3 linked regions of the Struthio camelus genome follow. The protein of the gene in region 2 interacts with the protein of the main gene of each other region in a pairwise test. Links are inferred from orthologs where the notes say so. Each region holds a gene or a part of one and is shown on either strand. Other genes may lie near its edges.

Region 1 (8,170 bases), on a different chromosome or scaffold from region 2:
CGGGGAGTCTGTGAGTCAGCTAGGAGGCTCAGCTCATACATATCAGGAATGCTCAGGTAGAGTTGATCCTCCCCCCTGGAGCAGAAGGATGGGCCACACAATCCCTTAGGATCTCTCCAGCTGTATTATTCTCTGATTCTACTACACAATAAACATTAACTTGAGAAACAAGAGGCCTCCGCTGTGATATATCCTTTTAACATAAATACAGTACAAGAGAGATACTGATAAACTGGACAGAGTACAGCAGAGGGCCAGTAAGACAGCGGTGGAGGGGTTCTAATTGCTGTTTTCAGCTATTTATTTGGGATTTATAGAGAAGTCAGGGCAAAGCTCTTCTCAGAGGTGCACACTGAAAGGTTACAAAACTTGCAAGAAGGGAAATTCTGACTAGATAAAGGAAAAACCTCCTCCCTGAGGCTGGTTCAACATTGGCAGAGGTGCCTCTCTACCACAGAGAGGCTGGGGAATCTCCACCATTGGGGATGTTCAGGACTAGCTTGGACAAGGCCCTCAGCAACTGATCTAGCTCAGGAGTTAAGCCAGCTCCAAGCAGGGGTTTGGAGTGGAGGCCTCAGGAAGTCCCTTCTCATATAAATCTTTCTATGATGCTGTGATTCTAGAAAGGTAGAGTCCTGCTTTCCTTTTCAACAGTATAGACACACAACACACAGTAGCTGCCTTAATGAAAAGAATAATCAAGCAAGCCATCTAGTCTGTGCTTGGACCTAAGGAAAGACTTTCTCTGAACCCAAACCAAACCAGAACCACACAGAATGGTTCCTCCTAGCTTAATCTCTCAAACCCACCCAAACAATACCTGCAGCCTGGCATTTGTTGGTAAAGGAGACTGAACCACTGAGAAGGCTATAAACCACACCTCCCAGTTTCACCATTCTCTCAGCAAGGGCTGCCCCACGGCTGAGATAGCTGAAGAATCACAAATGAAGCACCCACCTCAGTTTACCATTTAATTGATTTAATCGGGCCTGGGCTACAACTCAAGGAGTTGTTAATGTGAGGTTCATCAATGTGCTATTCTGGTATCCTCCGGAAGTGAGGAGGAGCAGAGATGAGGGAGGCAACCTTTCCTATTACCCCACTTTAGCTCTCCACTAGATGTGCCAGTCTGTCATAGCCACGCAACTGATTTCTCAGGCACAGCAGGATATGCACTGTGCTAGCAGGGACACCCACGATGGATGCAGTTATACCAAAACTATGGCATCGGTGTCGCTTACAGAGGGTGTTTTATCTCCCCCTATACATGGCATAGCTCTTTGCGCTCTCAGACATGCAACGCTCTGGTAAGCTGATCTTTGCCCACAGACTGAGCCTCATGTCCACCTGACAACCTGTCTGTATTTAGTCTTCCAGCAACAAAACCATACGCTTCCCTTCATGAAGGTTGCTCAGCACGTCATAGGAATTACCCAGGACCCAAAATGGTGCACCTCTTGTTAGGTGTTCAGTAGAGGAATGTCTCTGACAGCCTCATAGGTTACAGATGTTGCTTTCCCAAGGATAAGTACAATCCCATCACTCCTGAGAGAGACAAAAAGATCCTTGAAGAAATCAGCAACTCTTTATCATTAAGGCTTCACTGTGTTCTCAACAACAAGCCTAATTCCCAAACAGCTCCCCTTCCAGCTCCTTCACGGGCACAGGCACACGCACCTATTTACAAACAAAAGAACAATTCTGCAGGCTTCGGCAGGGGCTAGTGTTAAATTTTTCCTTTGACAGCTAGCCATTGCTCGGAAAATATCTTCTAAACAGAATTGCATTTGAGAATTTAAACAAAACCAATGTCAAAGACGCTTCGCTTTTAGCAGATATTGTCACATCTCCACCTTATCACTGACTGTGTTGTCCCTCACACTCTGACTGAAAGCACGTTATAACACTGCAGTCTCATAGAGACATCAGCTTATACAACAGGAGTCCTCAGGCGCAGGCATAACAAGGTATTTGGATATTGCTATTACATGGAAACTATAACCTAATCTCTTTCATTGAGGCAAAGAGAGAGACACAAGTGATAGATTTTACCATGCGTTGGCCAAAAACAAATATTTGTAGTGACTCAAGTAAGCATACCAGAGTCGCATATTGCGTCTATGCATCGTGCTATCAATGATGAACTCTTCTGATTTAGAAAAGACACTAAGGTAAGGCACTGCTGTGATGCAATTCATCCTCATCACTTTGGTGCTTTCCAGCATCTTCTCTTACACTGCGATGTGACAACACCTCACTGGCAATAACTCTTCGAAAGAAATTCTTCCCACAATGTAGGCACATATATACTGGTTCCCTACTGTTACAGCCTTGCTGCATTTGAGTGGGTAACGCAGCCTACCTTGTGTTCTGTTTAATTTCCTTCTTTGCACAAAAGAAAAAAAAAAAGACAAATAAAAGAGAGCTGGCGGGAAAAAATGCTCTTGGGAATTGGAAAACTAAGAAACTTTATTTCCAGAAAAGTGTCCTGATCGCTAAGCAACAACCACATTGTTTGCAGAATTCCAGCATTTAAAAGGAAGGAAAACAGTAGTTAGGTATACAAATGGAAAAATGACGTTATCTGTATCTTATGCACATATGCACAGTATAGTTTCCTTCACAAAACAAAGTTTTTAATATAATTTTATTATATATATTTATTTCATATAATGTTATGTAATTTTGCAAACATAACCATGGCAAAACGTTCCACGACTACCAAGTTCAACCCTGCCATCCCCAAAACACACCGCATGCCTTTGCCAGCAGGCACCAGCTGAGCTCTTCCCTGCCACCGTGCCCTCCCCGCCACCGTGCCTTCCCCCGGCTTTTGAGGCGGCCGAGAGCCGGGGCGCGCAGCCGGGGACGCGGAGGCGGGAGCGCAGCGCCGGGCCGCGGGCTCGGGGCGCGCAGCCCCCCGGGGCCTCTCTCGCTGCCGCCCGCTTCGTGCTGGGACACGGGTGCCCTCTAACGGGGAGTCCCCAGTGAAACAGCTCCCGTGACACTCCGACCCTTCCTACCTGCTGGAGGGATCGCATTTTGAGGAAAGCGGAGGGCTCCGGCACAGGAAAATGGAGCTTTTTTCCCACGGAAATGCCTGAACTACAGCTCCCAGAAGGCAGCTGCGGCCCTGCCCGTCCCCAAGCCGTGCCTGGCCCCCAGGCCCAGGGCACCGCCGGGGCCCGCGGCGGGGGCAGCCAGCAGGGTGCGGGTGCCTGGGAGCAGCTGGCTGGGGCTTCTGGTGGGGTGCAGCTGGTGGGGGTCAGCTGGCTGCAGTATGTGGCATGGGGTAGCTGCCTAGGGCAGCTGGCTCCATGGCCTAGGTGGGTAGAAGAGGAGCTCAGAGCCAACTTTATGAGCAGCGCTCGCTAGTGGAGCTCCGTGGATGTGCCATGTCATACATTTCTTAATCTCAGGGCCCTCAGACTGTTTCTGGTGTTGTTGGTACTCTCACCAGAAGTCTGGTGTCCCACCATAACTTGGCCAGCTACAGAATTTTTCTCCTTGGTTTCTTATCTCCAGGGACTACATGGTATTGCCCATAAGTGGGTTCCATGCTCCATTCAGCACCTTTGTGTTCCTGGATTAAACGTCTGTGAATCTGAGGTGTGGAAGTGGGACACAGTGGCGGGACTTCACTTTTAGCTGCAATCTTTAAGTATGGGATAGGTTTCACCCTGCAGCTATGCTGCTTCTCCAAGAGACTGAAGAGGAGACTTCATGGCGATTATGGGCAAGAGATGGCCTTTAGTTAGGACATAAGCTATTAATTGTTATCAAGATTTGTTCCATATTAATTAACGATCCCTTTGGAACCATTCCTGTTTCTACCCTTACATTTCTCTTCCCATCCTCTTTCCTTTTCTGGGCATGTGTATCATGTCCTTTGTCTTCCCTTCTTGAACTTATTCCATCTCATATATTATTCACTAAAGAGTCAGAAGTGAAATGCCAATGTTGATTTTTAAAGCATTTTCTTTCAGTTTTAAGGTCAACATCAGTGCACAGTTAAGAGGGCTTGGGCCTTGCTGATATACCTCCGTCTTCTGACTGACTCCTCCCCTAGGGAGAAATAACCCCATGCACCAGTACAAACTGGGGGCTGACCTGCTGGAAAGCAGCTCCTCAGAGAAGGGAGCTGGGAGTCCTGGTGGACAACAAGTCGACCATGAGCCAGCAATGTGCCCTGGTAGCCAGGAGAGCCAATGGTATGCTGGGCTGCATTAGGCAGAGCGTCGCCAGCCAGGTGGAGGGAGGTGCTCCTCCCCCTCTACTCAGCCCTGGGGAGGCCTCGCCTGGAGTACTGTGTCCAGTTCTGGGCTGCCCAGTACAAGAGAGACATGGCACTACTGGAGAGAGTCCAGCGGAGGGCTACCAAGATGATTAGAGGACTGGAGCATCTCTCCTATGAGGAAAGGCTGAGAGAGCTGGGCCTGTTCAGGCTGGAGAAGAGAAGACTGAGCGGCGAGCTCATCAGTGTGTACAAGTATCTGAAAGGGGGGTGTCAAGAGGATGAGGCCAGACTCTTCTCAGTGGTGCCCAGCGACAGGACAAGAGGCAACGGGCACAAACTGAAACGCAGGAAGTTCCATCTGAACATGTGGAAAAACTTCTTTCTGTGAGGGTGACAGAGCACTGGAACAGGTTGCCCAGAGAGGTTGTTTGAATATCTCCTTCGCTGGAGATATTCAAAAGCTGTCTGGACATGATCCTGTGCAATGTGCTCTAGATGACCCTGCTTGAGCAGGGAGGTTGGACTAGATGATCTCCAGAGGTCCCTTCCGACCTAAACCATTCTGTGCTTCTGTGCTTTTCTCTTTTGCTTGCTCATCCTGAGAGACAAGGTAGTGTGGCTTAGGTGAGGGTCTGGAAGCTTGTTTTGCTGTAACGGAGCAGGAGGTTTGCAGGACCTCAGTGTGCCCGTGTACATGGATGGGCTACTGGCATGAGTAGATGGGGCAGACAAAGTGTTTTCATCATTTTTTATCCATCATACCTTGAGTTGGATTTCTCAAAGTAGCACTTCCCCTCCTTTGCACCTTCATTGGAGTCTGTTCAGAATAATTCTGTTTAAGACGCAGTGAGGTTTACTTCCACTTGGCCTTCTGCAAAACCAGCTGGAGCACAGGATATTTTTCCCAAGTACTGCTGTATTGTCCCCTGTGATCTAAGATGGTATTGAAGGAGGCTGACATCCCATTTACCCCTCCGTTCACTGGTCTACATGCCCTCTCTTTTGCAGGGAGCAGCTTTTTCTCTTACAAATACTTGCAGTTCTAGTACTTAAAAATACTTGACTAGATGTCAAGTGGGCAGCTGTCTGTGGCCTATTCTGAGGTCTGTTACATCAGTGGAGAGCATCATTAAAATCCTTTGCACAACATCCCTGGCATCCCTTCATGCAATGTGATGTAGTGGAGAAGGGTGGGAGGGAATTTACACCTTCCCACTTGCCCTCCTCTCAATATTCCCCAGCTCTTTGTTCTGGAATCGGGCAGTTGACAGACCATTCTAGCTATGTGGCAGGGCTGTGAAAGGAGATGGGGATACCTGGGCCTTCTCTTTCACTTGCCAGTCCCTCTGCTTGTTTTGGCTACCTTTGTATTTGATCTTCTGCTTTGCTTGCAAGATGTCCCCATTTCCCAGACAGCAGTTGTGTAGATAAAAACATTAGGCCAAGCCAGGCAACTCAGGTGTGAAATACATTTTAATTGAGTTTAGGGTTCTGTAGTTTGTCTGTTGCTCAGCTGAGCATGGGTTGTCCAGAAGGTGACGCAGACGTTATGGGTGGAGGACAGGGTGAAGGAGAGCAAGAGAGAAGGAAACAGAGAGAAAAAGGTCAAGAGAAGCAAATGAGAGCATGTGTTTGTTTACGACTGTGTCTTAATATACTCCCCACGCTACTATGCACTGACCCACGATACCCCACAGAGCCGCTTAACCCAGAGACTGACAGCACACATACACCGAGTGACAGAAAGCAGTGCAGTTCAATACTAAGCTGCTGACAAGCACAGCTCAATACAACACAACACGCAGAGTGGAATGAAGAGACGCTTGGGTCCCACGATGGCTCAGCGCAAACGTGCCTGGGGCAAAATGACACTGTAGGCCAGTACACACACGCCTATACACATGCACGAGAGCCGCTGGCAACACTCGTCCAAACACAGCTACGGATGCAACACTTGTCCAAACACACCAGCCGACACGCTTATGTTCACCGCACATGTTTCGGCGTACAACGTAAACACACCAGGCGGCAGGCCCCCATAGTCTAATATGTGAACAAAGTGACTCAGACATGGTCCCTGCACAAAAACAGAAGACACAAAATGCCTAGATTCAGAAATGCTCATGATCCCAAAGCAAGGGAGAGAGGGTAGGCCTCACTTTCATCCTTCACCTGGATACACCTAGCCAGACAGACCTGAACTCATGGGGATTTGAGGTGAGAGTGGCAGGCGGCAGAGGAGAGAGAAAGAGAGAGCAAAAAGGGGAGCAGTGGAGAGAAGAGGGCTTCAGAGACTGTGACCTGGGAAAGAGCAGCAGAGTGGCAGTGCCCTCGGAACAATGTTCAAAGAACACTTGGATTGCGAAAGTTATGTCCAGCAAAGCGTGCTTCATCACCAAGCTCTTCCTCAATCCTGCAGAAGAGAGAGACAGCAAACATTAGACCCTTGCTGTGAGGGAGCATCAGAGGCGCTAGAGCACCTGAGATGCAGAGCATCAGCCACAAATCTGAAATGGAATAGAGGAGCTCTGCTCCTCCCAGCTGCTATGCATGAGGCTGCTGCACCGTTATGCCAAGGAGTAGGGAAGGGGTCTGCTCCAGAGATGTCCCCAGGATCCTATTCTTGGTCTGAGCCCTGTTTTCATAATATTTTCCCCACAAACCCCTTCTACCCTTGGGCTCTCAACTTCTCCCACCCCCGTTAGTTGCTTCTCCATTCTTTCTTATGTGTTCCCAACCTTGGAGCCCCTTACCTCATGAGCTGGTTGTATTTCGCCAGGCGTTCAGACCTGCAGGGAGCGCCCGTCTTTATCTGTAAAGTATTCCACACAACGAACACTGTAAGACACTGTGATGACTTGCACCAGTTTCCCCATAGGGGATAGGAGGCGGGGGGGGTCTGTCTTCACAACCTTCTTATTGTCCTCCACAAAATGTTATCTATAGCCTGTGTTTCACCTACCTGCCCAGTGCACAGTCCCACAACCAGATCAGCAATGAAGGTGTCTTCAGTCTCCCCTGATCGGTGGCTCACCATCACACCCCAACCATTCTCCTGGGCCAACTTACATCTGCAAGGAGCAAGAAATGCCATCAGTAGCTCCTTCTGTAGCCACCACCTGCACAGGGTGAGATCCAGGCATCCTCTCCTCCCACCCTCAGCATCCTACACTCTTGTGGACACAAAGGTGATTTTGTCCAATGGATCGTGCTAGACCCTGATGTGGTTCCACACCAACCCTTTCCCTCTCTTAGGACAGCAGAGACAGCAGGATGGACTCACGCTTGAATAGCCTCTGTGACAGATCCAATCTGGTTGACTTTGAGCAGGAGGCAGTTGCAGGCCTTCTCTTCCACAGCTCGCTCAATGCGCTTGGGATTTGTCACTGTCAAGTCATCTCCCACTATCTGAATCCCCACATTGGCTGTGAACTTGGACCAAGCCTCCCAGTCATCTTGGTCAAAGGGATCCTCAATGGAGACCACTGAAGGGACAACAGAAGAAGCCTGAGTCAAAGCTGCTTCCTTCCCCACCCCCAAAACACAGACAGGATGTGTCTGTTATGTTTGCAACACCAGTGCTGATTCCCCACTGCCAAGCACAGCAGCTCACCTGGATAATCACGTACAAAGCTTTGGTAGAGGTCACCCAGCTCATCTGCAGAAATGTAGCGGCTTGGGTCATCTGGGGACTTGAAGTCCAAGTCATATTTGCCATCACGGTAGAACTCAGAGGCTGCCACATCCATGCCGATGACGATCTTGTCTGTGTAGCCAGCCTTGTCAATAGCTTCCTTGAGGAGTTCCAGAGCTGGGAGGAGGAGAGTTGCGTCAGGAGAGTCAGTCCATGCAAAGAACTCTGACTTTCACTGGGGACTCAGCCAGTATCACAGATGCTCCACTGGGAGGATCCTGAGAGCAGGAGCAGCTGAG
Region 2 (7,399 bases):
CTAAAGCTGAGCAGGGCACAGAATGCAGGTTTTCCAGGTCCCAAGTTCTCTAATCATGGTGATTCTGTAGCCTGGTGATCATTGCTATCATGTTTGCCTCTGCTTCTGTCTTTATCACAACTATAGAATCTTTTGGTTAAATTCAGATTCTTTGTGTGCATGCTCTAACCATGCTTCCTAGATCCAGTCCGCGAGGGATTTTAGATGATGCCTGACCTACTTTCTGGATCCTAAACAAATACAGGCATAAGTCAAGCATCAGCTCTTTTGGTGCAACCAAGACATTAACTACTTACTGTACATGCTTACAGATGCCAGCTACAACCATCGAAAGACTTGGGCCACTACAGGTACAAGGTTCTGTGGTTTGTGCTCTTGAAGGTAGAACTTTAAGTTCTATCTAAATCCCATTTCAGGTGCTTAAGTGCTTTTCTGGATATGGTCCAAATAAACTTATTTGAAGGTTCTCTTTTATTCTGTATGAGTTTTGTAAAATAAAGTCTCCATATAAAACACATCAACAATTGCCAGAGAAATCTTCCCTCTATTCTCATTAAATAGAGCTTTTTGGATTTTCCACAGCTGGAAGATAGGGCTGCACAAGGAACTAACTTAACCATTCGCGTTTAAGACTTCATTATAACCTTCTGCTCAGTTCAAACACCCAAACCACACATATAGAAAGATGAAAAGATGAGTTCTGCATGCCTGTGCTCAGGTGAAATCAGCCTGTATTTCAGTCTACTAAAGATAGAAAGATTTGGTTTCACCCTCATCCTCTACTATCAGGAGATTATAGGTTAACAAAGGACTTTGGTAAGATGCCTAAGAAATTAAAAAAGAGCAGAAGCCTAAATGGATATTATTATATATTAATTTTATGTGCTAGTAAAGACATTCATTTAGAATTTTACAGCTTTCATCCCTATCAAGTTCTAGAAGATTTCTCCACAAGTATAGTTTGAACAAAACTATTGTCACTGGCCTTCTAGTTAAAGGCTAGCAACGCTCACTACTAATCCTCTGTGTGGAGGAACAACAATGTTCTCTGAAAAGCAAGATACAACGCCAACCAGTAGACACACCAGTCTGCTACAGCCTACCTTTTCCAAAACCCCATCCTGAAATTCATGCTTGCCAAATGTACATTGTTCAACCACTCCAGACAAAAAGATCTATAAATATCTAAGTTTTATACTAAGTATTACATACTCCAGCATATTTTGTAGATTTCAGTTTTGATTCTGAGTTCTCCAAAATTGTCCTTACTTTGCAGGGAAAAAGGCAGGGGAGAAAACTCAGAAAGATACCCTAGGAGACTTTTTTAAAACTATTCAGTAAACTTGTAAATGACTACCTCAAGAATACTGCATACAGAAACTGCTTTTATATTGTATTTCAGGTAAAACCTCATGCAACCACTTCTGTGAAGTTCAAACTTTGGTTGACATATGTAGTGACTTCTGAGACCTTATCTGAGGTCAGCAGTAGATTTCAGCCGCCTAAATAACAGTAAAGCTTTGAAGCACTGCCTCAACTGAACCTGCAACTAGAAAAACAGACAAACAAACATATTTCTTGTAACATGAGTTTCACACAACACATCTGAAACAGGCTATGGTTGTCTACATGCTTAATGAGATAACTAGTAATTTAAGTTCATTCCTCCTAGCCTTCAGCACTGTATAACAGAACCAGTAGTCTTTACTGATCACTGCGCAGTAGAAGAAACAAAGGTTGTCTGCAAAATGAAGAAAGTTGTGTTTGTACTTTTTCAGATTCTTAACAAAGTATAACTTAAATGTTTTCAGTTAGTTTTCAATGTATGGTTTCCAATCCTTACATATATACTACTACTTTTTACCTATTGCCCTAAACCTAGTTGAAAGATGAAAGAATCTTGAGGTTTTATGAGATATTTAAAAGTAAACTTATGATATTAATAAATTTGGGACATTTTGCTTTTATAAGTGTATCAAATGTCTTTTAAGAGGGACTAATACTTAGGATGTCACTATACCCCAGGGTGAGACAAATGTATGACAAAGCTTGTTTTGAAACAGGGAAGAGGCAAACCAGAGAAGCCTAACTTCTGCATAAAATATTGTTTTGTACAGCAAAAAAAAAAAAAAGCACCTAGCAATTTTACATATATAATCTACTCAAAAAATAATAATGTTCATATTTTTCAAGTATTCATATCAGGCTACTTATATTAGCAACAAACAAAGCCTAGAAAGAGGAGAACCTCAGTAGAACTATTAACAGCTTATGTGCAGAGCAGAATCAGAAAAAGCAAGAATCACAGAATACTATTAAAACAAATTCCTCCTCTCTTCAGCCTTTCTTTACATTACAGAAGACTGAGAAAAGAGTTGATCCATCTTAAGAAACTTGCAATAATCACTATCCTCTGTGTCATTACAAACTTTTTTTTTTTTTTTTTTTTTTTTACTGTAAACCACAGTGGAGCTGCTGCATATTTACCGTTTACACCTTCACCTGCCATTGGCTGCTGGGAATGCAATGTTGCATTCAACGGTAAGTTCCTAAATATAAACTTATTTCCCCATTAAGAAGTGTCCTTACTTAAAGTGCAGATGTTTTTCTGCATATTTCTGTTAGATTGTTTTACATTACAACAAATTAAAACAGGAAGGAAAAATTGTTGGAGATTACTAGCTGAATCTCAAAGCGTCACCAAAGGGTAGCAATATTGGTTTCCTAATTTAAGTCAGTAGTTAATTTGGGGCAAACTCAGGACACAAGTAGGATTGTAATCTTCTTTAAAAGTTTTAGCTGATGTAGAGAAAACTATATTTCTTGAATTCTTCATATCAAATGGATTAATCACACTGTTAACTGAAAACAGCTAATCTTACTGCCCATGATGAATTCTGACAGAAGATCTAGACTAGACTTTTATAAAAGTCTAGTCTAAGATGTTTCCTAAAATTGAACAGACCACAACCTTTTGTTTCCACCCCCTAGACTTTGTGGTATTCCTATTGATTTTGTATAAAGAACGAATAGGTTGGAAAGTATTATTTTTAAGATACTCGCTTATGTATTGTGAAGGAACATACATGCCCAGATGAGGCTGTTGGGCATTCGTCTCTTAAAAAGCAACAAAATACCAGACTTTGTTAGAAATTCCTGCAAGGTCTCCTGGCGTTTGCTTTTCTTCCTTCCAATTAACGGTGGTGCTAGACTTTTCCGACGCTACCGCTCCCAGGCTTTGCTCATACCCGAAAGTCCACGTTATCACTGCCTCCACATACCGTCCCGTATGGAGCTAAAGCTTCCTCGGCCTCCGACGTTAAGACACGCGCCTCACGCCTTCGCACGGCTGCCAGCCTGCGGGGAGCGCCCGCCTGCCCGCCCGGGCCTTTTCTAGCGGAGTCCTCGCCAGCGCCGCGGCGGCGGCAGGTAACCACCCCTCCCCCTCCCCAGGGCCCTAACGGCCCTAACGGCCCCCGCGCGCCGGCCCCGCCTGCCAGCTGCCCAACGGCCGTCGTGGGCTGCTGCTGCTGCTCCACCGGTCCCTCCAGCCCCCCTCAGGGCGGGGAGGAACCGACCTCCCTCCCCCCCTCCTCCTCTATCCTAAGTATAGGAAAAGTAGAAGTTATGCAAAGGGAGAGAGACCAACCAGGCGGATCCTGGTTGCTCCCGACCGGGCGGGGAGGGTGTGACGGCCGGGGGCGGCTGCAGCAGCAGCAGTAGCGGCGGCCCTCCTTGTGCGCGCAGCCCGGGAGGGAGGCGGCTGGAGCAGGCAGCCCTCCCTTATCACTTACTCGCCGCCGGGGTGTGCTGGCTCTCAGCGCAGAGCGGCTTTCTCGGGGGGCAGTGACTCACAGAAGCCTCCCTTATCCTGCCCGTGCACGCTCTCCCCCGGGAACGGGGCCCTGGTGCTGGGGGCCGGGGCCGCTCCTCCCCTGTTTACGCAGGGCTTGATTCAGCTCGCTCGGCTCTTCTCCCCGTCGCAGCACCCAAGTTGGTTCAGCCCGGGGCAGGCGCTAGGAATAAGCCCTCTCCCTCCCGAAGGGCCTCGCTTTAGACTCGCCTTCTCCCTGCCTGCCTGCCGCTGCGCACGACTTGGTTCCGACGGGGCCCTTTCGCCCGGGCGGCAGCGGCGGCTCCACAAGTTCCTGCTGCCGCTGCCCGGGGCGCGCGCACGAGGCTGGCGCGGCCGTTGGGGGCGCGCGGCGGCGGCGGGAGCAGCCGCGGCGGGAGGGGGGTTGTTGTGCGCGAGCCGCCGATGCCGCTGTGAGATGGCATCACTCTGCGCGGCGGCGGCGGAGCGTGGCGCGGAGGGGTGAGGAGCCGCGGCGGCGAGGAGGAGGAGGAGGAGAAGAAGAAGAAGGAGGAGGTGGCAGCGGCAGCGGCAGCAGCTCTGAAGCTGCGAACCACGGTAAGGAAACAAAACAGGCTGCGCCGCAGCCGTTTCGCTCTGCGATCTGGCCTGACAGAGCCCGGCCGGCCTGAGGAGAAAAACGGCTGCAGTTTTTCTCTGTCTTCTTTGCGGCGGCCGCGGTGGGGCTGGGGGGGAGCGGGGGCGGCCAGGGCGGGGGGTGGGGGGTTGAGCTCTGGACGGGTACCCGCTGCCCCTGTCACGGAGGGGCGGGGAGGAGGGGAATGGGCGTGGGGGCTAAAATGGCGAAGGGAGCTGTAGCGAGGTCTTGGTCTCTCTCTCCTTTCCGGCACTTCAGCTCGTCGCACACCCTGGGCCTTGCTGGGGCTGGAGGAGGGGGTGGCGACGGCTGCTTCTCCCCCTCCCTCCCTCAGTCTCCCCGTTTGGTGGCGGGAGGACTGCCGTGTCCCCCCCCTCCCCTCCGGCTCATGTCTGGACAGGGCGGAGGGCCTCTTGGCCCACACCTGGCCCGGGAAGCAGGGTCGGTACTTTCGTGGGCTTGTGGAGGTACAGGGCGGGGGGGAAAGGAGCGGGGAGTGTGGCTGGTATCCGATGTCAGGCGAATAACCTTGTTTATTCCTGTCTATGGCCTTTTGAGAGAGGGCGACTGAGGGCTGAGTCCTGACCCGTGTCAACGCCAAGTGGGTTGCGAGAGGTGTTAGTATCTGGGAGGCAGTGAACCAGTTGCGGGGTCGACCCTGCTTGATTCTGTGCCAGCTGAAGGCAAAGGAGAAAGATATTGTTGCGTTTCGGGTTCACCTTTCTTTGGTGAAACAGCGGAGGGAGGAGGTGAAGAGCAGTCTCCCCTCTGTAGTGAGCTGCTGTAACCCCACAGCCTATCATCATCATCCCTCACAGGATGTGTAGGGGGCAGGAGGGGACACAGGCTGGGTTGGAAGTCATCACTGTTACTGCTGAAGTCTGCGAGTCTCTCTGATTCTCTTAATGCAAGATTTGCTGAAAAGACCGTGTGAATTTGAGATGTTGAAACACTTATTCATGTCATTGATCTTTGTTTATATTATGACAAGATCCTACAACTTAGCATAAGTGTTCATTTACCTGATTTTTCAGTATGTGTCTTATTTTTGGAACAATACCAGTTCTCTTCCAAGTTAAACTGTGGTAATCTCACTCTGCTTCCAGGTCTATAAATGTTTAAACTGTATGTCAAAGAGAGAAAAGGAGTTAACCCTGTCTAATAATTTTAATGGAGCCCTTCAATGTTTGAATTAAACTCTGAAAAAGGATCTCTTCATATTTCAGCTATATTTTCATATAGTTCCTGCGTCCAATAGAAAATCATCAGGATATTTTGCATTAAAAAACTCAAGTTATGCAAGTTTAGTAACACTGGCTTGCTAAATGATACTCTCACTGGATGCAGGCAGTTGGGTTAAATATGGCTGTCCCTCACATGTATGAGATACATGCATATATATATATATATATATATATTTATAGCCTTCATAGTAATAATAACAATCTCTGCTTAAAATTTATGTTTTGCTTTAATCCCTTTGTTACATAGGAATAAACTGCTTAGTGATGATCTGTGGCAACTTGTCACTTGGGCTTTTTTAAAATTTTATGTGCTGTCTTATCTGAGTCTGTGTAAATGGACATATGAACTGAATTATTATTTCTCATTGATTTTTAATAGTGAAGATTTAAGAAATTTGCGTAGAAAAAATCTTAGGGATTTTCATTCTTTTAAGAAGGATTTTACAGCTTGTAAAAGCAGTTTATCTGGAAAGCTGTCAAAGGTGCTTTAAAATAGGACAGCTAGAAATATTTTGAACTAATGTTGGTTATAAACCAATCTGTGTTTTCAGAATCCTTCTGTTACTTCTTTGGGCCCCGTTTTAAGTGTTCGTTTAAATATCTGATCCTGTAAATGCTTCTTGTTAGTAGATCTTCCTATCAGTAGTCTTTTTCCAATGATACTATAGATTAGTTCCCTTAAATACATAATTTTACTTGAAATCATGCAAGCAGTTTTAAATACTCAAGGGTGAGATCTGTCAGCATGGGACACCTTGTTACCTAAAGGATATAAACTATTTTTTTGGGTGAAATTAATTTACATTTGTTGCTAAATATCAATGAACAAAAGGTTGTAAGTGAACTTTGTGCCTTTTTTTAAAGGGTTGGCAATAAAGTTAAAATAACTACCTGTCTTCAAGCGCTTCTTAAATTGTGGGAAGACCCACAGGCCTCAGAGCCAATCCCCTCTCCTGATTCTGTGGAACCCTTGGAAGATGGAGGAGTGCCTGCCAATTCTGTTGCTTTTTCTTTTTTTTTGTGTCCTTCTTTCTTTTCCATACACATATTATAAGTTGGAATTTCTACCCAGTCACTCTTCTGCTTTTACTCTTGAAAAGAATGTGTGTGTGGGAAAGAGATTCTTCTTTCCCTTCTACTATTCTGTGTCCAAAAAACATCATCTGTGATGGGAAGCTGGTATTGTGTTCAGTTTATTCATTTTTTTCCCCAAATTTCTATGCCAATAAAACCCTGCATTTCAAAACTCAGATACTTTAATCAAAAATTCATGAACTAGGCCATACTTATTAGTTAAAAATGGTTACTATTTATGCCATTAGGCCAAACTGTCGTGGTTAGCTTTTTTGCTGAAACAGAAGCTCATTCTAGAGTTTATTTGACTAGAATCCAGATAAAGAAGCAAGAAGACTTGGAGGGGGAATGGATGGAGGGATAGACAAGTGCGAACTTTAAGAAATGTCTCTTGTAAGCCCTCCTTAAGTAATGAATGGAAGTTTCTTTTAACTTGGTTTAAAAAAACTCTGCTTCCTCAAAAGGGCAGAAGAGGAGGGGTGAAAGTTACTGGTAACACAATATCCTTTAAGCTAGGTTAGTACTCATCTGCTTCTGCAGTGTAACGTTCACCTCAGTTAAAAAAATGGATTTCTAGCTTTACGTCTATCACATAAGAATCTAAGTTAGTGGATGAGCTGCTCCAGTATG
Region 3 (7,683 bases), on a different chromosome or scaffold from region 2:
AGAAAGAAAATTCTTGCCAACACTAGGGCATCATGCTGGAATTTTTCAAGGTCTCTCCAGCCTCGTGCTGGCTGCCATAGGTTCTTCAAACAGAAAACCTGGGACCTGAACGTCTGTTGGTCACATCATCTTACAAACTGAGCACTCGGAAAGTAACACACTTAACCCTACTTGGTCACTAGAGGAATTTGAAGTTTCAGCTCATCTGCTGTGAAGCCCTTATTCCCAAGGGCAACATTTCTGAAAAGCTTAAGCACTTTTACATCTCAAACCTTGCCTCATCTCATGGGTACAACGGCTAATTTTGTACTAACCCTGCTCCTGCTGGGCCAGAGTCATCCCTGGCATAGCTCCACTGTAATTTAGTCTACTGATGTATTACAGACAATGCACAACACGATCTTATCCGTAACGATGGTTTTTCCCTTTTGTCCCCTCAATGTACTTAAATTTGCCTAAATAACACAGCAACGCATGCAGAATTATTTTAAAAGAAAATACCAAAGCCATACTAAAATTGTCTTGCAAACACTAATTTCAAGTGACATGATAATCAGTCACAGAAGCGTTAGGACAAACAGCGCAGTCCAGTGGAGAAGACATTGCACTTAAAAGTCACAAGGCCTGGTTACAATTACAGCTCTGCCATTGGCTTCAAGACCAGCTGTTTCACATTTCCACTCCCTTCCCCAATCTCAGATATCTAGACATTAACCTAATACTATGCTGCTGCAGACGGTCCAGCACAGGGTAACCTAACTACTGTTTTAAGGATCTCTGCAATATCTATATAAAATAACAGTAAAAGTGCATAGGAAGCGTCATGTTTAAAGACTAGTACCAAGGCACAAGGAACTACCGTCAAAACATGCTGACAGTAGTGAGCATATGAATCCTTGGTCCCCAGTACCAAGGATTAAGACCTGAAGGATCAGACTCTGTGTCATAAGTGAACATGAAATGTTTTAGTTTTTGTACTGTTTCCCTTTAACAGAGCAAAATTTGGGAGAAACCAGCATTCTCTTCTGCACAGTAGACAATAGCCAGAGTAATCTCTGGAGGTGATAATATTTATAACTTGTGACATCTGCTTGTGGTGTTACTTATTTTCCAGCTTTAAAATTATTTCTCTAAATTAAAGCTTCCTACTCCACCCGTCTTTTTGCTCCAAATGCCTTCCTTAAGCTAAAACACCTTGTTCCTAGTAAAGCAAACGTCGGGGAGCCTCACACTCTGCTTCCTAACAGGTCAGCATCAGCAACTCTCCACGGAAACCTGAAGCACAATAATATACAAGTCACTTCAACCGTAGGACTCCTCAAGTAAATTTTTTCTTATGAAAAGGCAAATATTTCAGGGAAGTGGTTTACACAGGGCATTTTCTATGAGGAAAGTACCCTGCTTACCAAGAATTTCAAAATAGAGGTTTAAGGGCATTTGTACCAGGTGGCAGCTTTGTAGGTTTTGATCTCTGCTTCAACTACGAGGAGCCAGAGTAACTCTAACAAAGGCAGAGTCCTCAATCCGGATTACTGGCAGAAATCTTAGGCATGATCGCTCAGGACCGAAAAGATGAGGAGGCTTTACTTTTTCTTTAAAACTCTAGTTGCTGGAAAAAATGTTAGGAGTTCCAAATATCCACGTTTCTGAGCTACTTGCTTCACTTTTTCATGCAACAGATGCTGCTTTGTATTAGCTACTGCATATTAAATCATTCTGACAACCAAGAAAGCATACATTTGTTTGGGCGAGAGAGAGGCATGAATACACATACTCACAGAGATATCTTCTCACACAGAAGCATACAATTATGCAGGATTCAAATATTTGGGCTGAACTTTGGCCTTTGTTAAAAACACCCCCCCCCCCAAAACAACGACAAGTAACAGACTCAGCAGTCATCTGGCTCAGCTCACAGAAATCGACAGACCTGCAGCAAAAAAAAGCACTGCTTGGGGCCAGCTATTTGAAAGTTACTTGAACATTTTTTCTTAGATGCTATGTATATCATAAGGAAGGATGCATATTATGGATTGATTTCGGGATCAAGGCTAAAAATAAAAATCTATGTTAAAACAAAAATTAAAAAAAAAAATCAACTTGTTACATCCATCCTTACATAATTTTTTTTTTTTGCAGTGCAAGTAATCCCCTTCAGCTATGCCATTTGCTCTCGCGATTTAAAAAGCAATGTGAAAACAAACGCGCAGCAGGGCTCTAAATCACATCTGCAGCGCAGTAGCTGGCCAGCTCGCAGGAATAAGGCGAGCAACCCAAATAAAACCATTTTCCTGACCAAAACCAAAACACACGCGCAAACACACACACACACACAGAGGCAAAACTCGGCGCAGCGCTGCCGCAGAACACGCTGCAACTTTTGACCACGAGAGCACCCAGGGTACGCGCGAGGGCAGCCCAGAGCGCTGCCAACTTTGGGGTTTGGGGTTTTTTTTCCCTCCTCCCCCCACTTCCCCTCTTCCAGACTCGGCTGGAGACATTTTCTCCCCTGCCGGGGGCAGCCGCTCCCCAACGGCCCCCGAGCCGCCGCCGGGCCGCGCCCCGGGGCCGCCGCCGCCGCCACCGACCTGGGGATGGTGATGCACTTGGTGTTGATGTTCTGCGTGGTGATCGCCTTCTCCAGCTCGTCCAGCTGCCCCGTCTTCTTCAGCTTCTTCACCAGGCTCTTCACCGCCTTCTCGCACCATTTCTCCTCCTGCCCGTTCTGCTCCCCTTTCTTCCAGCCCAGCAACCGCTTGACGATGGGAGGGGTGAACGGCAGGATGGAGGACATGCTGGCTTGCCCGGCCCGGCCCGACCCGACCCGGCCCGGCCGCTGCCTCCACACGAAACCCGGCGGCTCCGCGCCGCCCCGCGGGCACCACGAGGCCTGGCCCGGCCCGGCCCGGCGCGGCGCGGCGCTGCCTCAGCGCCTCGGGCCCTCGGCACCAAACTTTGCCCGGAGTTCGCCGCGTTTCCCCGGCGGCGGCGGCGGCGGCTCCCTCCTCCCCCTGCTGCCCCGCTCTGCGTGCGCGCGGAGGCGCCCGCTCCAGCTCATTCCCAGTCTGCCTTTCATGCAAATTGCCTGCTGGCCGCCCCAGCCCGGCTTCCACCCCCTCCTTCCCTCCCAAACACGCTCCCTCACGCCGCCGGCGGAGGGCGGGCGGGCGGCCGGCAACTCCGCTCCCGCTCTCCCTCCCCGCCGCCGCCGCCGCCCCCCCCGGCGGCAGCCGCAGCGCCGCACGCGCTGCCGGGGGCGCCCGCCGCCGCGCTCCTCTTTCTTTTCCTTCTTTTCCTTCTCTTTCTTCCCGCGCGGGAAGGGCGGAGGCGCGGGGGGGGGGGGGAAGCTCTGCCCCCTCAGCGCCGGCGCCCCCCTCAGCGGCTGCGCGCTCGCGGCCTTCCCGCGCCCGGCGAGGCGGGAAGCTCCCGTCAGGGCCGCCGCCTCCCCTCAGCCCGCGGCGGCCGCTTCCCCTCCCCGCACCCGGCCCCCTAACCCTGACCCTCGTCTCCCCCCACGCGGGAGGGACGAACAAACACGAGTGACAAAGCGCTGCCGGGCCAGGGGAAGGGACAGAGTGCCCTCGGGCCGGCGGGGATGGGTAAGGCCCCCGGCGGACCCCGACGGCTGTTTTTCTCTGTGAAAAAAGGTGTGTTTTCACATGGAGATGGCTGATCCTCGCTTGGTCAAAGCAGCCAGGCGGAGACGACGATCTGCAGTTTTTTTGTTTCAACCTATTTAATTTACTGTTCCATTCCCTCATCCTCCCACCTCGAGGGCCCGGTACCCGATTAATTTTTGCCCTGTATCAGGCACAAATTACGCTCCGGAGCTGTTTACTACCAGCCCTGGTCAGAAAGTCTCAGACGGAACATTTTTGTCAGAGAATGGCAGCTTGTTCAGATGGCCCTGTTTTGTAGAGATGGTTCAGCCTTGACTAAGGCAGGACGGGATCCAGGTAACTTTCCAGTTCCTCGCTTGTCATCGCTGGACAAAGTGGGCTTTCACGCTGCCCCACCTCTACCATCCTCCCCTTCACGCCGAAAGGCCCTAAAGACCATAAAAATACCAACCATAGTTCCTAAAGCGCTCCAACCCTTGGATATACCACCCTGGCGCGGCGTGAGCAGGGTGCACGGGCAGCCCGGCGAGGAGCAAGGGGCTCGGAGGCCACCTGCAGAGTCACCGCTGCCTCCTTCCTTTAGGCGCCTCAGCCCCAGCTGCTTCACAGCCGTCCGGGAATCAGAGAGTAAAAAGTTTTGGGAGGCCCCAGCTCCCAAGTTTTGACATTTGAAGCTGAGGCAGGCTTCCCAGCTTCCTCGAGCCTCCGCAGCCTCCCAGACGAGCTGACGGTGAACCTGAGGTTGGGAAGCCTCCGGGGCTGCTCACCCGCTCCCAGACGTGCAGGTTCTTGCCAATCCGCATTCCCCTGCTCCCAGTTCCAGCGCGGCCCAGTGGGGAGACTCCTCGAAAGCCGGCGATCCAAACGCTTTTCCATGCCTGTGGATTTGAAACAGCCAGCCGTACAAATCGCCTTGCGGCAAGTTATGAACCTATAGGTTCAGACAGTGTCTGAAGCTCAGAGGCAACTGGCTTGGCTTTTGCAGCGATTTAAACAAATAGTACTTTTTATTCCATACTGACAACACCAAAATTTGAAGTAGCAATATTGGGCACAAAATAAAATAACCTTTCCCCCCCCCCCCCCTCTTTTTAAAACATTTTCTTACTATTCCCCAACATGCATTCCCCGAGTGTCTTGAATTTTGGAGGCTCACCACTAAAATTTTGGAACGCTGCCCTGACCCAGTTTTTGGCTGCCTAAATTGAGATGCCTGAAGTACAGTGATGCTGAGCCCCTGTAGATGATCCCAATTTCATTTGAGGAAACAGTTGCTCAGCACCTCTAAAACCAACACAAAAATTCTCAGCAACTAATTATGCTAAAACCAAAATGCCCAAATTACTGATTGCTACTTAGTGTCATTGACTTGCTGCATATTTGTTTTCTGGAAGGGCCTGGTTCCTGATAGCAAATGGTTTGGAGAATAACAATATTTGGAGAATAACCTGAGTATGTGAACAAAGTGAAACACAGAAGTTAAATACATTTTTTTTGTATATAAATAAATACAACTATAATTTTAAGTGTGGGGAAGTTTAAAGTCATCTTTTTCTATTTTCCTGGTTCTTGGCCCAGCACATTTTGCAACATAAAGAAGCCCCAGGGCAAGACTATGCGTGAAGAAACAGTCTTAGAGCTGTCAACACTGCATCAGGGTAATAACAGTGCGGATTTCTGTTGGGGACCATATCCATTTCTTTGTCACTGTTCATGCTAGAAAAGCATGGGGACTGTTCCATACTGTTTTTCAGCCAGAAAAATGAAAGTACTCAAATCTCACCTCTAAACTCAGAATTCATGCTGTAATCTTAGTTCAGCAAGGCTTCCAGGATTTTCTGTACACATTCATTGGCTAAAATTCACTCCATTACTATAGTCATATCACAGGTGATCAGCTGGGTAAATTTGAATAAGGGGAAGAGGAGGAAGAGCTGCGAGATTTGCTCGCGCTTATATAGCGAGTTAGTGGCAAAGGGGTAAATAGATTTACCTGTTTAGCCAAATGCTAAAACAAAATGGGTCTCACTTGCTTACAGTATCACAAGTAAGGAGGAGGCCAGCTAAATCACCCATCTGCCTTCTGGGCCGCAGCACCACTGAGAACACTAGAACTGAAAATGAATAAACATTTGGTCTCAAGACGTAGAATTAATTTCCAAGCTCAAGGTCATTACAATTTACAGAACAATTTGTATGACTGCTGCTGGGGTTACCTGTCAGAATGAACCATTCTGTGAAAATATGCCTTTCTGAACCCATAGACAGTAATCCTTTATTTCAGAGAGTTTTGGACACTCTCATAATGGAAAAATTAACAGACAGGAAAAAGACAGGACCGTCCCAATTTTACATGGTCTGGATCCGTTCTCTGGTTTACAAAATGTCTGATGTCTTGGAAGCCACCTCTAGGCAGGATAAGGTTATGTGTTCATTAGTGATATAAATTTTTCTTTACTTTGCAACAATCATTATCTTTGCATGTTTGTTACATAGTACAGGTTTAGGGACTTCACTCATTGCATTTTGCTCGTACTGAAAAGTAAAGATGTATAATCTGCAAAAACACAAGCCCTCCATAGTTCATCTATTTGAGATTACTTGAAGAAAACAACCGTATGCTTTGTGGCTCTCTTGCATTTCTTAACCTTTTACTACTACGTGAACATCTTGACAGTGATTGAAAAATAATCTTTATATACCTTGTTCATTCACAGGACCCATCAGTGAATGGGAACAGAATTTAAACTTTACTTTCAAGACGACAAAAATTGGGTTTTGATTCAGAAACGATATAAAATGAGCATAAGAAGCAAGAAGGTGTCCTCTGGGGCTCTCACACACGCGTATCTACCTTTATTAGAAATACTCTTAACAGCTTCTGAGATTGAAGGATAGGTTCTGTGCTTCACTCCACATTCACTTTATACCACTCGAGGAGTGAGAAGAGAATAAGGGAGTTTGAAGCAGGCACGAGGCAGTTCCACTAGCTCGCACGCTGCTCTCCCTGAAACCTCTTTTGCAGGGGCATGTTGGAACAGGCAGGCTGGAGGAAGCGTGACCAGAACAAACTGTATTCTGGCTATGCTCAGAGACGGTTCTTCGGGGAGCCTGTTGCCTGCTGAAACAGCTCCCGGGCTGTTTTAACATGTAATTGTGGCTAGTTTGAAAATCAGGGAGTGGTTGTGAACCAGCTTTTAATGTACTGCCATCTCTCTTTTACTCAGCTACTGAAATATTAAGTATAATTTCCTATATGGGCATTATCTACTTGTGGAAGGGAATTTTACTGTGTGACTGAAGAGGACAACTGAGAAGCAGGTGGACAACCTGTAAAATTTGCAACAGATAGGGATTTACCAGAGCAGCTAAGAGGGCCATAACCTCCTCATCTCCTTTTGTTCCGTATCATGTAAGTAGCAGCTGTAATGAAGAGTAAGATAGGCAGCTGAGAAAATGAGGAGAAAGTTTAAAAGTAGGTTATTTTCACATGTTAACTTGTAAATAAGGGCTGTGACATTTAACTTTCAATCTATATCACATATAATATGCATAAACAAGGGAAGGTGTGGGAGCTTTCCTTGCTTAAGTTAATATATATATATGTGGAACAGCACTTATTGCAAGCAAACCTATCTTTATCACTCAGAACAAACCTGCAGGAAAATAACCTTTGGGGTGAGTCACAAAAAAAAGCAAGGTCATTCTAAGTTAATGCCTTCAGAGTTAACTTCAATGCTGTGAAACACACAGCTCAGGCAATTCCTTTCAGGTTACAGTGGTTATTCTTCTCTACATATGAGAAAGCATACACATATCCAATAAAAAGATACTTTGCTGAAAATTCTTAAGACTTAATACATACAAGTTCATTCACTTGCATGTTCCAAGAAGCTCAGCAGGATAAGAATCACACTGCTGTCTCCGACCGAAGGTCTGTTTAAACCAGCGTCCTGCCTTTGACTATGGCTGGTACCTCTTACTTTTAGGAAAAAGAGTTTAGAGCAATCCTTCTTCTAATATACTCTCTTTGCTTTTGGTAATTGTTTTGGGACTTCCTGAC

What was found.
Region 1: the proteins of WWP1 (region 2) and ATN1 interact in a two-hybrid assay, tested with the Homo sapiens proteins (2 studies listed by BioGRID and IntAct). The link is inferred for Struthio camelus from reciprocal best matches to the Homo sapiens genes WWP1 and ATN1.
Region 3: the proteins of WWP1 (region 2) and SMAD3 interact in binary tests that used the Homo sapiens proteins (3 or more experiments, as listed by UniProt). The two-hybrid records come from large-scale screens. The link is inferred for Struthio camelus from reciprocal best matches to the Homo sapiens genes WWP1 and SMAD3.

The regions. Positions count from the first base shown.
Region 1 is NC_090942.1:90,570,808-90,578,977, forward strand, and holds the start of ATN1 (atrophin-1), read right to left. Parts: upstream 3,093-8,170; 5' UTR 3,024-3,092; intron 1-3,023. Other genes in the region: ENO2 (gamma-enolase), read right to left, coding at 6,581-6,650, 6,991-7,049, 7,200-7,308, 7,521-7,722, 7,851-8,048. UniProt on the Homo sapiens protein: Transcriptional corepressor. Recruits NR2E1 to repress transcription. Promotes vascular smooth cell (VSMC) migration and orientation. Corepressor of MTG8 transcriptional repression.
Region 2 is NC_090943.1:152,425,522-152,432,920, reverse strand, and holds the start of WWP1 (NEDD4-like E3 ubiquitin-protein ligase WWP1), read left to right. Parts: upstream 1-4,207; 5' UTR 4,208-4,411; intron 4,412-7,399. UniProt on the Homo sapiens protein: E3 ubiquitin-protein ligase which accepts ubiquitin from an E2 ubiquitin-conjugating enzyme in the form of a thioester and then directly transfers the ubiquitin to targeted substrates.
Region 3 is NC_090953.1:2,691,963-2,699,645, forward strand, and holds the start of SMAD3 (mothers against decapentaplegic homolog 3), read right to left. Parts: upstream 3,093-7,683; 5' UTR 2,795-3,092; coding exon 2,589-2,794; intron 1-2,588. UniProt on the Homo sapiens protein: Receptor-regulated SMAD (R-SMAD) that is an intracellular signal transducer and transcriptional modulator activated by TGF-beta (transforming growth factor) and activin type 1 receptor kinases.